Linked DNA regions of Struthio camelus. The protein of the gene in region 2 purifies or fractionates together with the protein of the main gene of each other region. This does not show direct contact. Links are inferred from orthologs where the notes say so. Each region holds a gene or a part of one and is shown on either strand. Other genes may lie near its edges.

Region 1 (7,616 bases), on a different chromosome or scaffold from region 2:
TCAAAAGAGCCCGATGTGAGACCAGCGCCCGAGTGCGCTAGGAGCTGCCGGACCCCGAGGAGCCGGTCCCTGTCCTGCAGCTTACATGCTAAATACCTTCAGGCACAATAAGTGCATTAGCAAAACCTCTGGAAGAGGTGAAGAAATGACACTAGGTCTTAACCTAGTTTTGCATACATTGACACACATTATGCGCCCAGCTAGATGGTTTTCATTGGGCAACTTAGGTGAAATCCAGGCTACCCCTTCTGGGTATCTACCCGGTCGTCTTTGCTCAGCAGTTTGCTGCAGTCATCCTGGCAGAGAAGAGTCTGTTTTATAGTTTTAACACCGTGAGTCTCATCCAGGAGCCAGTCATTAATTACAGCGCGGACAGCCCGAAAGCGGCACCGGCGGCAGCAGGGCTGAGCTCACGCAGTGGCCCGGACTGGGCCGGGGAGGCTCCGGCTGGCAGTGAGGATGGCGCAATCCCACGCTGCTGAAGTCACCCGGCCGCAGGATGCTCGGGACGCTCTCACCGGCGCCCAGGGCTCGGCCGTGCTCCCCTCTGCTCTTTCCCTGGGCTGGCTGTGCAGGGCAGCGCCCTGCTGCAGGACCTAGTGCTGGGCAGGAGCTGTCTCTCACCGTCACAAGAGGGATTGCAATTAATCCTGGCCCTCGCTCATGCCGTCTGTGCGTTCCTCCAACGCCGCTGCGCGATCCGTGTCTTTGCAGGTCAATTTAGTAGGAGCCGGCTTTATTGCTGCTGGCTGCAGGCACGGCACGCTGCGGCCGAGCAGCACCAGCAGCAGTCCAGCGCTGCCCGGGCGCATCTGGGAGGTTTGTTTCGGGGCGGCGAGCAGCAGCGTGGCTGGAGCCCTGGGCCTTTCAAGCACGCTTGGCAGGCGCCGGGGAGAGCGCGGCAGCAGAGATTAAACAAGGCCTCCAGCCTGGGATGTGCTGCACCTTGCAGGTGCCGAGACGGCTGGAGTGAGGCAGCAGCGAACGGGAGTCATCGGCACACGGTGACTCTACGTAGCTTGCTCCTGGCTTGGCTGTTTATGGAAGATGCAGCTATTCCCTCCTTGAGTTTCGAAACCTTTTACACCGCTAGGTACTGTTGTACATCCAGCTATGTGGCGACACGCAGGATGAAGGGAACGACTCGCTGCAAGGGTAATAGACAACAGGGAACACTTTGAGAGAGACCTTTTTTGGTGGGATGTAAACAGGTAAGGCCAGCCATGAAGTTGGGCGCTAAACCTCCAGGAATCTAAACTGGCATTGATTATACACTGAGGATCTGGAGGGAAAAAAAGAGTTGGTAATCCTACATTACGAACTGCACTGCCCCATCCATCCAAGAGCCAGTCGCTCTGGGTAGAGTCTGACCACATCAAAACATATTTGGTTTTCCTTGGTTCGCCCCCTCATTGTGCTCTCTGCCCCACTTTCTTTCCCTCCACCCATTGGTAACACAATGGACCAGCAGTGCCACAAAGGCAGGCACAGAATGAACCTAAGTGACCGTGTAATCTTATTATTGTAACCCTCATCCTCCCTTTCCCCTTTTCTCCCTCCTCCCCTTTGTCACTGTCACTTATTGTCATGGTTAAAATTAGACTGGAAACTCCTCTGCAAGGGACCGTATCTTTCTTTTCTTTATCCTGAGCACCTTCAATGCACTAGGTACTTTGCAACTGCTCGTGATTTATAATAAGGTTGAGGTAGGAGGCAGCCTGTTTTAATGCTCACCTCTTTACATCTTCGAGCTGATTCACCAGCCACATGAACATCTTCCATCCATGCACACATAACTCATGCCAGCAATTCACTTGACAAAACAATTTCAGAGGCAAAGGAAGGAGAGGTGTTATTCCTTACATGTAATAAAGACGAGTGACTCAAATTTGGTGTAACTTATGTAAGACTTGCTCTGACAGCTAGAAGCCCTCTCTGAGTTTTCCCCATAATGGACATAAATCCTTTTTGGAATGAAAGTGAAGAAAATAATGCCACTTACAAAAATAGCCACAAGCAGAGCCGTCTATACAGTACCTTAACTGCATCTCTGGAAGATGTTTTACCTTGACCAGGAAGCTCTCTACGGTCTGCTGGAAGCCCAGGAAGAGGCACAACACAGCCAGCAGCCTCTGCAGACTTGCAATCAAATAGGTGATACACGGAGGACAGAGGACAGGGACAAATCCCACCTATTACATATATCTGCTGAAATTCTGCAGACCGTGACAAGCAGCTATCTCGTACCCAGAAAGAAATGTGATCATGTTAGAGGGCGGCTTCTCGTAGGGCGAAGCACTTTGTGAAAACAATTAGGTTCTGAAGCGACTGAGGAACTTTGCTTTAAAAGAAAAACAGCTATTCGTTATTTTTAGTTACTTCCTGTAAACAATGGGGGAAATTCAGTGATGGGGGAAATTCAGAAAATGACAGGGGAAGTATTTTGTCTGGGAAATGCTAGGGATGGGCTGTAATATCTAATACTTTAGTTTGGCACTTTATTGAAGGTTATTTCAGCAGCTTTGCTCCTGTTCTCAATCCCTTACTGACATCTGGCGTTTGCTGACACCTCAGACCGTGTGTCAGGAGAGCGGGAACGATGATGCAGTTCAAGCCATCAAGCAACGCGGAGCCATAAAACACTAGTTTATTGTTGTAGAGAGTTACTGCTGATTCTGTAAGGCTTTTCATGCAAACAACTCTGAGCAAAAGAAAATAAAAGCAAAACGGAAAGCCTCTGTGCTGTTTACAGAACATCTGATAGTGTTAGGAAAGTACATGACAATCAAGCTATAAAATTTTGTGTCTTTTGCTGTAATTATGAAGGTCACAGGACAAAGATTGTAGGGAGAGCTATCTTTCATTAGACCAATTTATCTACAGCATGCCTTCAGGCATGTTAAATTATGATTATGTTACACCTCCTCCCTGCTAATCACTGTCTATTCCACAGGTTTAAGCCACCCGCCTCGCTCTTTCCCCTCCACACTAAGCACCTCTCCACCCCTCTCTTCCTCCCACTGTACCAATATCCAGAAAAAATCCACACTAAGCACCTCTCCACCCCTCTCTTCCTCCCACTGTACCAATATCCAGAAAAAACCAATACTTTGCTTCCTGCCTGGAGCCTCAGGGGTGAGTTTTGCTTCAGTAACAAGTGCTGAGTAAGAGCTGGCCAAAACATTCCTACAGACAACTGCGTTTCTGGAACTTATGCTGGGATTAAGAATGGTTTAGATAAAGGAAGATTCTAGTCTGAAAACAGAAATCGGGAGAAAGTTAATTCTTCACAACCTTTTATACACAAATAACTGTAAATAAGTTCCTAACATTGTCACTATTTAAAAGTCTGAAAACATGTGATGCTGTTTTTCCTCCTCTTTCATGCTGCCTTAATTTAATCTCTCTGGAAAGAGAAAGTGTGCGGGGGAGGGATGAATGGTAATAGAAAGTGATTTAAGAAATAAAGTAACATTTGCAACCCACAACTCCAGAACTAAATCATTCCTGTAAATACCCAGGTGACGCGGGAAGCCCAAAGGAGTTCCCCCCACCGGGCAGGAGCTGCCTTTGCCCTCCCAGGAGGAAGCTGACGGGACGATGAGACCTTCTGCACCAAGGCCAAGACCCAGCGCCGAGTGCCTCGGCGGGGCAGTGTCCCACGGGAGGCAGCCCGCGCCTGGCTGAGCCTCACCAGGGAGATGTCCCCTTGCTGGGCAGACGTCCCCTGACCAGGGAGACGTCCCCTGACCAGGGAGATGATCCTGCGCCAGGCCTAGGGAGATGTCCCCTCATCAGGGAGACGTCTCCTTGATGGGGAGATGTCCCCTCACCAGGGAGATGACTCCTCACAAGGCCTGGGGAGATGTCCCTTCACCAGGCCCCACGGAGACATCCCCTTGCTGGTCAAATGTCCCCTCACCAGAGAGACATCTCTTCACTGGGCCCCACGGAGACTTCCCTTGACCAGAGAGAGGTCCCTGACCAGGGAGAGGTTCCCCTCACCAGGCCCCATGGAGACATCCCCTCACCAGGGAGATGTCCCCTCACTGGCCCCACTCCTCGCACCAGGCTGCGCCACTGCGTCCCTCCCAGGCCCGGCACGAGGGGACACTCGGCCTCGGCAGGCACGCAGGAGGCTGGGACCCTGGTGGTGGCCACAGAGCCCAGGGACCACCCACCCCTCTGCCCCGGGGCCAGGCCGAGCGGCTCCCTCCGGCCTGCCCGGACGGGTGTGGAGGGGGCTGGGCAGCGGCCATGTTTGCCTTCTACCCGCCCTGCAAGGTAAGGCAACAGGAGGACGCCTCGGAGCCACACGCTAACCGGTCCCCCGGAAGAGGCAGCAAGACGCCTCGGTGCCACTCGCTAACCCGTCCCCCGGAAGAGGCAGCAAGACGCCTCGGTGCCACACGCTAACCCGCCCCCCAGAGGAAGCGGCAAGACGCCTCGGTGCCACTCGCTAACCCGTCCCCCGCGCGTGTCCCCGCCCTTCGCGGCCGGGCCCTGCTTCCGCGGGCAGTGACGCAGCACCTCCCTCCGGCCGGTGCGGCGCTATTTGGCGTCCCCCCGGCTTAGCCTCCCCCCGGCACGGCGCGGCCGCGTAGCTCCCAGCCCGGATGTGACCCGGGAAAGCGGGCGGGGAGGGGCAGGCTTCCGGGTGCCTCAGCATAACCCTACCGGGCGGGGGCGGCGGCTGCCGGGCGGTTCCCGAGGCGGAGGCGAGGCGCGATGGAGTGAGGCGGTGCGGTAAGGCGCGGAGCGGGGCGGCGGGTCAGGCCGGACCGGACCGGACCGGACCGGACCGGACCATAACGGCTATCTCTTCCCTCCCCTCTCAGGACGGCGCCGGAGCAGCTGGGCCTCGCCCTTCTCCTCAGGCGGGCCGGGGCTATGCGAGGGCCGCGCTGCCGCCTGCCCTAGGCCCGCGCCGCGGCGGCGGGCCCGGCGGGGGAGCGGCGAGCGGCAGCGGGGCCTCATGCGGGAGTACAAGGTGGTGGTGCTGGGCAGCGGCGGCGTGGGGAAGTCGGCCCTGACGGTGCAGTTCGTCACCGGCACCTTCATCGAGAAGTATGACCCCACCATCGAGGACTTCTACCGCAAGGAGATCGAGGTGGACTCGTCCCCGTCGGTGCTGGAGATCCTCGACACGGCCGGCACCGAGCAGTTCGCCTCCATGCGCGACCTCTACATCAAAAACGGCCAGGGCTTCATCCTCGTCTACAGCCTGGTCAACCAGCAGTCCTTCCAGGTAACCGCTGCCCCGGCCCCTGCCGAGCGCGGCGGCCGAGAGGAAGTTTCAGGCTTAGCTTCCCCCCACCCCCTTTCCGGAAAGACAAAAGCGAAAATGTCTCCTCAAAAAGTACTTCCACGAACCGCCTTTCCTAGTGGAAAAGTGCTTGCTCGGCAGGTACTTATCAGGGTGCCGCCGCTGTTACATCCCACGCAGTGTGGGAGAACAGTCGCCAGCTCCCACTTCCCCAATAGAAACGCTGCTGGCAATCCCCTTTTATTAAGAAATCGCTCGATATTAAAATCCAGACTTCCCTTTTTGCTGAAGAGGAGTGTTTCTTTGCTTGATCTTAGGGAGCGGGGCATGTGCTCTTCAGCTTTGACTTAAATAAGCTCTGATTTCCCCCCCCACACACACACACCCCGAAACCCCCCATATTCCAGTGTAAGCTCTATGCTTTTGCAGTGTAGGTGGTGTGCTAGAGAAGAGAAGGAGGCCGTATGTGATAACTTGTGGATCTGGATTCCTTTTGTACTATTAAAACTGTTTCAAAAAAAAAAACCCAAAACTTATCAGCCAGTAACTGGTTTAAGCTGCCCCTAGGAATGTCTTTATTTCTGAGGAATAACTGGGTTTAGCAGCCATGCATGTAATGCAGGGATTTGCAGCTTCTGCGTTGGCTTCAGTTGCTGGTTTGGGTGTATTCCAGCTGCTTGGCAAAACCTTGCACACCCCCACTGAAGCAGAATGTTTGCTTCTGCTGAAGGCTAAGCTTTATCTTAGTAGAGGCCTCAATATAGTTTCAGTGCAAGCTGAAGGCATACTTTTCTTTGGAAAACAACAGCAGTGGCATTGGGATGCTTCTCCCCTCATTTTCACTTATTTTGGAACCTGAGTGTTCCCCATTATTCAAGGAATAGGCACACCGTTAGTAATCCACCCTGTTAATATTTAATTAGTCTTGTCTGTCTGTATGTTTACTCCATAGCTGTTAGGTGTAAACCACTCTCCACAGTTCTTTTAAGCAGTGGCAACTTCAAACACTCAATTGCTTTGTCTCAAAACTATGCAAGAATCTGTAGAGGTGAGTCCTGCTGATAGTAACTTAAAACATTCAGAAGGGCAGAGGAGGCTGACTCAAACTTTAAACGGTAAACTCCTGATGTTAGTTCAGACTTGAATAAATGCATCTCTAGGTAATAAAACCTCCTTATAGCATCTAATTTGCTTACTTACATGTGACTAAATGTGTTTACAATGAATCAACTTAAGCGTTCCAGAAGCGAGAAGACTGTTCGCTAGCTTCCTCAAGCTGTAAGCCAAGCACAGACTTCCTAAATGATTGTGTAGTAATACACGTATCGCTACAAATGTTACAAATCTGCTGGCATTTAGATTTGAGACAAAATTCTCAGCAGAACAGAGATCTATCTGCCTTGAAACCAGTCGTACTGTATCTTCCTCTAGCTGAACCAAAACTTTCAGAATACAGTAGTAACTACATATATACACATTTATAAAGTATGCATTCATATAAACCGGAAATATACTTTTATTATTATTATTAAAGATGGACAGTGAACTTCCTCTGCCTGAGTTCTAGATCCACATGGATATGAATTTAAGAAATCTTCTAAAGTATTTTCAGTTGCCTGTAAGGGTTATTAAAATGCGTTTCTGTAGTGGCTGAGGCAGTTTCATGTGATTACTTATGCATACTAACCAGTCTGATTGTTTGATCAGGACATCAAGCCAATGAGGGACCAGATTGTTCGGGTGAAGAGATACGAGAAAGTTCCTCTGATCCTAGTGGGGAATAAAGTGGATCTGGAGTCGGAGAGGGAGGTCTTATCTGCAGAAGGCAGAGCTCTGGCTCAGGAATGGGGCTGTCCCTTCATGGAGACATCAGCCAAGAGCAAAACAATGGTGGATGAACTGTTTGCTGAGATCGTCAGACAAATGAACTATGCCTCCCTGCCTGAAAAACAAGATCAGTGTTGTACAACTTGCATCGTCCAGTGAGAAAAATTAAGAAAAACCTCAATCATGGCCATACAGAGCAGGTTGGTTGAACAGTCATAACTGAGGTGCATGATCATGCTGTTTAAGTAAGCAGATAAAGTGGGACAGAGAGTCTGAAATTAAGTAGTCTAACCTGGAGGTGGCTTTCCTCTGAAAGAGATGCAAGCTTGTGGATTCAGTTGCGAATGCGTACTTGAGTCAAATGGTCGTCTTGCATTACTTGGGTAGGGTTAATCAGGGAACGTTGCCTTTACCTGTAGTAACTTTACAATGCGGCAGAGTGTATGACCTCATCTGTCCCTATTTTGACTGACAGTGCTGTATTTGACCTAACCTTATCCTTAGTAATGTGTTGGGATGTTGC
Region 2 (7,161 bases):
ACAGTTCTACTGCTGTGTTTCCAGGTAACGTTCTGATACGTCCTCACTTTGATCTCAGTTTGTTTCTGGTTACAGAGCTAGGCTACTGTGACAGAAACTCTAACTTAATTTCCTTTCTCAAACTTGGAAAACTGGCCCCCTTTTTCTTTTTGGTCAGTGAATCTTCAAACTATTTCCACAGGGTTTTAAACTAAAGCCTTTCTAGCAATTATCTAACGAAATGTTGAGTTTTGATGTCTTTGCATTTGAGTTCCATGGCTGTCTTCATTAGCAAGTAATTTAGTGCCATAGGAGCAGATTGGTAGATTGCAGCAGTAGGTACTTAAGCCCCTGCAACTACACTATATGCAGTTTGGGGAGGTTTAGTTCAATGTGGGCCTGTCTGGTCCCCTGGACTGAATGTCCCCACAACACATGTGACTGCAATTGTAGGCTGGGACCCTTGTGTCTGTATTAGGAGGTGGAGAGTGTTTGGTATGTATAGAGCAGAGCTTCCAGTTCAGTTTGCTCTAAAAGGCACCTGGAATGCACACAACAAAATCTGCTCTACGAACTGGATAAATAACCGGTATGTAGCAACAGTCGGAGAATTCACTTTGAGAATGAACCAAATTCCTTTGAACCAAGAAGCTAATGTGACCATAGTTTATAGCACCCTTCATTTCAACAAGTTTTGTAAGGTGGGAAAATAATCTTGGGAAGATTATGCATATTTTATGATTGGAGAAACTGAATTTGCATGAATTTTAGCAACTTGCCAAACCAAGTTTTGGCAGAACTGGGAACTCAAGGACTTTAACCCCTCAGCTATGCTGCCTCTGCTCTCAGATTACCATGCAATAACCCTAGAGCTTTTATATACCTGAGAGCATATGGAGATCAAGGTCCTTCTGCGTTACAGCTTCATAAAACAGCTTAAAAAAAAAAAAGACTAGGAATACAATACTGGAGAGAGTACTAGTTAACAAGAACTAGTAGGAATAAATAGACGAAAGGGAACATTTGGTACGACCTTGCAAGGCTTGTCAAAGAAATTGTAAGTACAGCTCTTTCAGCACAAGTCACCTCCTCCCCTCCTCCCCTTGTTTTAAACCCTACTTTGTCAAGCCTGGATGATGTATTTTCCTCCCCACATAAGATGTTTCTCCCTGTTCTTCTTCACCCACTATGCCCGTTTCTTTTCCTAGGAACTTCATTGAGTTTTGGTTGAGAGCATCTGAGAGAACATGACTATCTCTCAATATGTTGTATGGGATTGATTTCATTTAGCCCACTATAGCTACTCTGTCACATCGCAATTGTTTTCAATTTTCTGTTTTTCTGCACATTCTAATCCACGTGGGATTAACCCTATGAAGGTTTAAAAAGCGTAGAAAGGTCTATTAAAAGCTTTTAAAAACCGATCAGCTAACGTCATTGCAATTCTTCATTGCAGATTTACGAGGGAACTTCTCAGATTCAAAGGATGATCATAGCTCGTGAACATGTTGGCAAATTTAAGGTTTAAAGAAAGGTATAGAGTGTGTGTGGCCCCGCTGTCACGTTCTGTGTTCTCAGAAGAAGACAATTTTAATGCATTTCTCAATACAATTAAAAAGGTGTGGGAAAAAATAATTTTCCTTCAAAATCGTACTCTTTTGTACGTTGTTAAGCACTAATTTAGTATCCCCCACTCTCTCCCTAACAAAGTTGGCATTTTCCAAACATGTCTGAATTCCAAAGTGATTGTTTGTCTTTTGTCTTTCCCCACTTAGGCTTTTTCATTCAAGCCTTTGGCTTTCGGTGGGGGAAGAGGTAAAAACCTTCCCTGTAAAATTTACATTAAAAAAGTGAACAGAATTCAGAAATATGTTTATTGCCTGGGAAGCCATTCCACATGTAACAAGTAATTTGATTTTAGGAACTTCTATATTATTTATAATGACACAGATTTGCTTCTACTGAGATAAATTATAGCTTTGTCATTGGAGTTCAGGTGGATATCAAATTAATAACTCTCAGGAACACAACTACTTTAAAAAGCTATTCTGATTCTTCAGGGATCACACTTTGTAGCATATTGTGTCCAGGTCATCACATGCTGTAATAAATATTCTAACACAGCGGTTTTGGGGGTTTTCAAAACTCACATCTTTTGAATTTCAAAATGAATACATACTAAGTTCTGGACCATTCAAAAACAAATATATATTCCCATAAAGTACAACACAGATAATTGTTATTTTTCTGAAACAGTGGCAGAATTACCACTTGTGGAGTGTCTGCATATCGCTTGCCTCCATGAGTCCGTATGAACAAAAACTAGTTTTTGTTTTCAAAAGATAAAGTATAATAGGGCTTCTTTCCAGTGACTTACCATATTATTCACCTGAGTCCAGCACTGACAGAAATTTTCGTGCAATGCTTTTATCTCTGTGCCTCAGAGAAATCTGTTACATTTATGAAGAAAATACTTGTTTTCTTGTGCCTTAAGTAAGACTTCTTATTTATGGCTGAATGCTAAGGACAGCTTTTTGAGAAACACAGTTACGTACTTGTGTCACAGTAGGAAAAAAAGAGCGTCATTCAATTTGAAAAACATTTTCATTTAACTGAGCTCGTGTGAAATAACCTCTAGGAAACTATGCCATACATTCAAGTACAATAGCTCTCTTCTAAACTTGGATATTACCTCAAAAGTTCTAATTCGAAAAGGGCAAAAATTGAGACTATCACAACACAATGTTTTTTCACATTAAAATTAGGCGGCCAGAAGTTATTTCTGGCAGTCACTGCTGAATGCTAATAAAAACCTATTTTCAAGTGGAAAGATGTGGTTGTTTTTATTCCCTTTGCTTGTGACATCATTTCAGTTTTATTTCAGGTGAGTTCAATATCTGAAATATGTTAATAGTTACACTGCAGTTCCTACTGGAGTATTGTGCATACCAGAAACTACTGGTGAAACTGGCCGTTGTAATTTAAAAGAGCAGCTGAGCAGCCTTTCCAGTTCAACAGTATGAAGGTCTGCGTTGCTACTGCCTTTATGTGTAGCTGTTGTGAGGATCTAGATACCGTCCAGTAGGAACAAAATATCAACTACAGAGATTGTAACCGCTTACTTGCAAGTGTAGTAGTGTAAATGTTCAGTAAGGCCGATTCACTTTCGCTTGAAATGTGTAGCTTTCCCTTAAGAATGATTTACATATGTTGTTTATTCCAAATCCAGTATATTTAAACCTATTAATGCTTTCCATCAGTATATACTTAAGTAAAGTTGCAGCAAAAACAGCTGAGAAGAGCAATTTCTGTGACATATTTTAGCTTGGATAGATCATTGTGCTGTCAGAATGCCCATTTCCTGGACTGCTTGGACAACTTAATTTGCAGTTTCTCACCAGAATCTCCTTGTTTCACTGTGGTCTCTTTCATCCATCATCGGGATTTAGCGTAGGATGGTACAACTAGCGTTATCAGGTGTGAGCTTTGCGATGCTATTTCTCAGGTAGGCCATCTGGGGAATTAGTATGTTCTTCAATAACATGATCCTTTAAATAAACTGTTATAATCATGTAAATTACCATCTTATTTACCTGCAGGCAGATCAATAATGCAACATCCTGGATAGGGATTTCAAAGACGACCTCGTTTTTGACCGCTCTGTGTAAGTCAGAATTATTGCACATAAATGTTCTTGTATAGTCTCAAAACCGTGTTCCAGCGCGGTAGGGGTCTGTGCCCCACGGGTGCCAGAGGTCTATGCTGAGGATTAATAGCGTAATCACAGCAAACAGCTGTAGTTGGGGAGCAAAGGTTTTTCTTTTTGAAAGCAAGGAGGACGGTTACCCCTGCCGTTCTGCAGCGACATTCTTGGACCTGCTTTTTCATAGAAGTGAGGTGGCAGAAGGAAGCGGAGGCTATTTTTAGTGGCCGTCCTGCTTGTTGTGATGCAAGAAAGCCCACAGTTGAAATTACGATAAATTTGCTCCTTCCGCTGCTTCCTGACGACCCGGGGCTGCCGCAAGCCCGAGCGGGACCGGGCTGCGCCGATCCCGCCGCGGGGGCGGGGCGGGGCGGGGCGGGGCCAGGGCGGGGCGGGGGGGCGGGGCGGGGCCAGGGCGGGGCGGGGCGCGGGGGCCGGGCCCGGCGGGGCGGGGCGCGGGGGCGGGGCCCGGCAGGCGGGGGGCGGGCAGCCACGGCGGGCGCTACTTGTTGCCCCGCCCCGCCGCTGCGCGCTCTTTCCGGCGAGGACGGCGAAGATGGTGGGTGGCGACCGCGCGCGGCGGGGAGGCGGCCGGGCCCGGCCGCTCCTTCGGGGCCCGGAGCGGGTGTCCGGCCCGGCCCGGCCCGGCCCGGCGGGCGGCCCGGGGCCCGGGGCGGGTGTCCGGCCCGGCGCGGCCCGGCCCGGCGGGCGGCCCGGGGCCCGGGGCGGGTGTCCGGCCCGGCCGCTCCTTCGGGGCCCGGCCCGGCCGCTCCTTCGGGGCCCGGCCCGGCCGCTCCTTCGGGGCCCGGCCCGGCCGCTCCTTCGGGGCCCGGCGGGCTGGGCTGGGCTGGGCTCGGAAGCCGGCGCGGCTCGGCGGGTGGCCGTAGCGACATGGCGGCGCTGGCGCCGCCCGCTGTCGGCGGCGCGGCTCCGCATGTGGCGGAGCGGGGGAGGCGGCGGGCCGTGGCCGCTGCCGCTGGCTCGTTGGCGCCGGCCGCGGCCTTACGGAAGGGTTGCGTTCCCTTTGCCAGGGAAGGGTTTATCCAGACTGAGAAATGACAACGTGAGATGAAATTTGTCCTCTGTTCAAAATCTGCAAAAAACCGCCAGCAAGCCTCCTCTCCCGTTCAGTTATCGTTACTAGTGTTGGCTAAGTTAAACCTAGGTACTAAAAATCTCTTTGAGTTCCCAATACAGCTGAAATTTTGTTGGTACTTTTTAAAGGGGACGCCGCAAAAGGATGTTATAATAAAACCTGATGCCCCAAGCACACTGCTTTTGGAGAAACATGCAGACTACATAGCTTCTTACGGAACAAAGAAAGACGATTATGTAGGTATCAGTTTGCTTCAGTACTGCTGTGGCTTTAATAATAGCAGTAATTACTGTTATTTGCATGTTTAAAGTTAGGGGTTGGATAGGTGCTCACAAGTGAATTCCTTCTTGCCCTTCAATCCGAATTGGAGTATAAAAGGAAGATGGCTTCCTTCATTTTGCCAGGTCTGTGATGAGTTTTGGCATGTATTATCTGAGCACAAATTTGAAGATTATCACTTTAGCTCTAGAATTACTCTGAGACCTGGGAAATGAACTACTTTTGCCTCTTCATCCACTAGAATGCATAAGGAGTATAGGTTTATTTTCCTGTGGCTCTCTTATAAGATGCCATGCTTTTATCTGCTGTACTGAGTCTCACCTCAGAACTGCTTCTTGCTTCCTAGGCTTAATAAACACTGCAAGTAGTGTCCATTTTATGTAGTTATCAGGTGTAGCTAATCACAATTGGACTCCAGTTCTGGCAGGTGAAAAATGTGAATAACTGCTTATGTTTGAGGGGGAAAAAATGTTGCAGGTATCCTTATTGGCCACCAATGAACTCAAGCGCTGTTGCTTAAGGTGGTTTTTCCTGTCCTTGGAACATAGGAGTTATAAGTACTGCACGAAGAAAATCGTACTTTGCAGATAGTTCAGGTGATCAGTTCAGGGGGTGGGCGTATATATAAGATATCGTATATGAAAATTCACTTCTTCCTGAAGCTTTAAGGTTGCAGCAGTTTTGACACTAGCAGTAAGATTCATTAAGTGTCACTGTTGTTTTTGAGACCTGTTGGGGTGGTGGTTGAGTAGAAGTTTGGGAGTCAAGACAATAACTGGTGATCTGAACTGAATTAGTGACTTACTACTTGCATGTGTTTCACTTGATGTTGAGTTTGATACTTTTAAACTGGAAAATACAAGGAAATGTACTGTGTAGAAATAGGTGTGCACATGCACCTGTATGTGTATATACACGCATGCATACAGTATATAATTTATAAGTGGTTAATAAACACTAAGCTGTTAGTGCAATGGAGAATACTTGACATGTTAGAAACTGCTTATAGATATTAACTAATATATTTTCATTGTTCTAACTTGATGATGTGCTTACCTGATTAAGGACTAAAATATTGTACTATTTAGGAGTACTGTATGTCAGAGTATTTGAGGATGAGTGGTGTTTACTGGGGGCTGACGGTAATGGATCTCATGGGACAGCTGCACCGAATGAACAAAGAAGAAATTCTGGCATTCATCAAATCGTGTCAACATGAATGTGGTGGTATAAGTGCCAGCACAGGTCATGATCCTCATCTTCTGTATACCCTCAGTGCTGTGCAGGTAAATGGAACAGGGTAATGGTGGAAACAACTGTTTGTAATAAATAAATGATTTTGATGATTGCAGATTTACAAACCGGGTACTTAAACTATTAGAAACTAATGGCAAAAACTATTTCAGTACACTGTAAAAAAAATCTAATGAACAAAACTTTAGAATTTAGCTGTGTCATTTCCTAAAAAAAGTGGTGAGGTGTGGGAATTTGTGCTTTTAATGTTCATTTAATGGTGACTTTGTTTCTATGCTGGTTAAATTTTGTAACAGTCTTGAAATGTTTCTTAGCTACATGTTTTACTGGAAGTTTCTAGACAATTGCCTTTGGATTTTCGAAATTCTTCTTAGGGTACATTGAGCTGAAAGATCTGTATGACCAGAATAAGAAAAAAATAATTAAATTTGCTTTTATACACGTGCACACACAGTGTGTGCGTGTGCATGTATACCTATATATAAAAGAAATGTTACAGCAGCTAGTTTATATTGTATCCTTCAAACATTCTGGGGGGGAGGGTAAAAAAAAAAAAAAAAAAAAGTACCAGTCTTTTGGGCATTTTGTTTGGTGTGTAGTCTTCCCCAGAGGAAAAGGAATTATTCTCAAACTTATTTTTCCTCATAACTTTCTCCATTTCAGTTGTAATTTCATGCCTTCTTACTTCTTAATTTCTCTTAGGTTCTTCTTTAATTCCTTTTCTTTTATTCTTATGCAAAACACGGTGGAAAGCAATACCCAAAGGCTTAAATGCTTCTAAACGATTGCTTGATTCATCACAATTTATCCCTAATCCCATCTCAGGGAAGAAGTATTTAAATGGTGTTAC

Evidence for each region. Proteins that work in one complex are often made in the same cells at the same time.
Region 1: the proteins of RABGGTB (region 2) and RAP2C purify together in Homo sapiens (co-immunoprecipitation; 3 studies listed by BioGRID and IntAct, counting the BioPlex papers as one, with this or other methods). This does not show direct contact. The link is inferred for Struthio camelus from reciprocal best matches to the Homo sapiens genes RABGGTB and RAP2C.

What each region holds. Positions count from the first base shown.
Region 1 is NC_090952.1:24,215,357-24,222,972, forward strand, and holds the start of RAP2C (ras-related protein Rap-2c), read left to right. Parts: upstream 1-4,613; 5' UTR 4,614-4,746; intron 4,747-4,838; 5' UTR 4,839-4,975; coding exon 4,976-5,248; intron 5,249-6,973; coding exon 6,974-7,252; 3' UTR 7,253-7,293; intron 7,294-7,616. UniProt on the Homo sapiens protein: Small GTP-binding protein which cycles between a GDP-bound inactive and a GTP-bound active form. May play a role in cytoskeletal rearrangements and regulate cell spreading through activation of the effector TNIK.
Region 2 is NC_090949.1:39,135,415-39,142,575, forward strand, and holds the start of RABGGTB (geranylgeranyl transferase type-2 subunit beta), read left to right. Parts: upstream 1-4,151; 5' UTR 4,152-4,238; coding exon 4,239-4,241; intron 4,242-4,906; coding exon 4,907-5,014; intron 5,015-5,181; exon of another isoform or gene 5,182-5,264; intron 5,265-6,145; coding exon 6,146-6,343; intron 6,344-7,161. Other genes in the region: ACADM (medium-chain specific acyl-CoA dehydrogenase, mitochondrial), read left to right, coding at 1,436-1,507. UniProt on the Homo sapiens protein: Catalyzes the transfer of a geranylgeranyl moiety from geranylgeranyl diphosphate to both cysteines of Rab proteins with the C-terminal sequence -XXCC, -XCXC and -CCXX, such as RAB1A, RAB3A, RAB5A and RAB7A.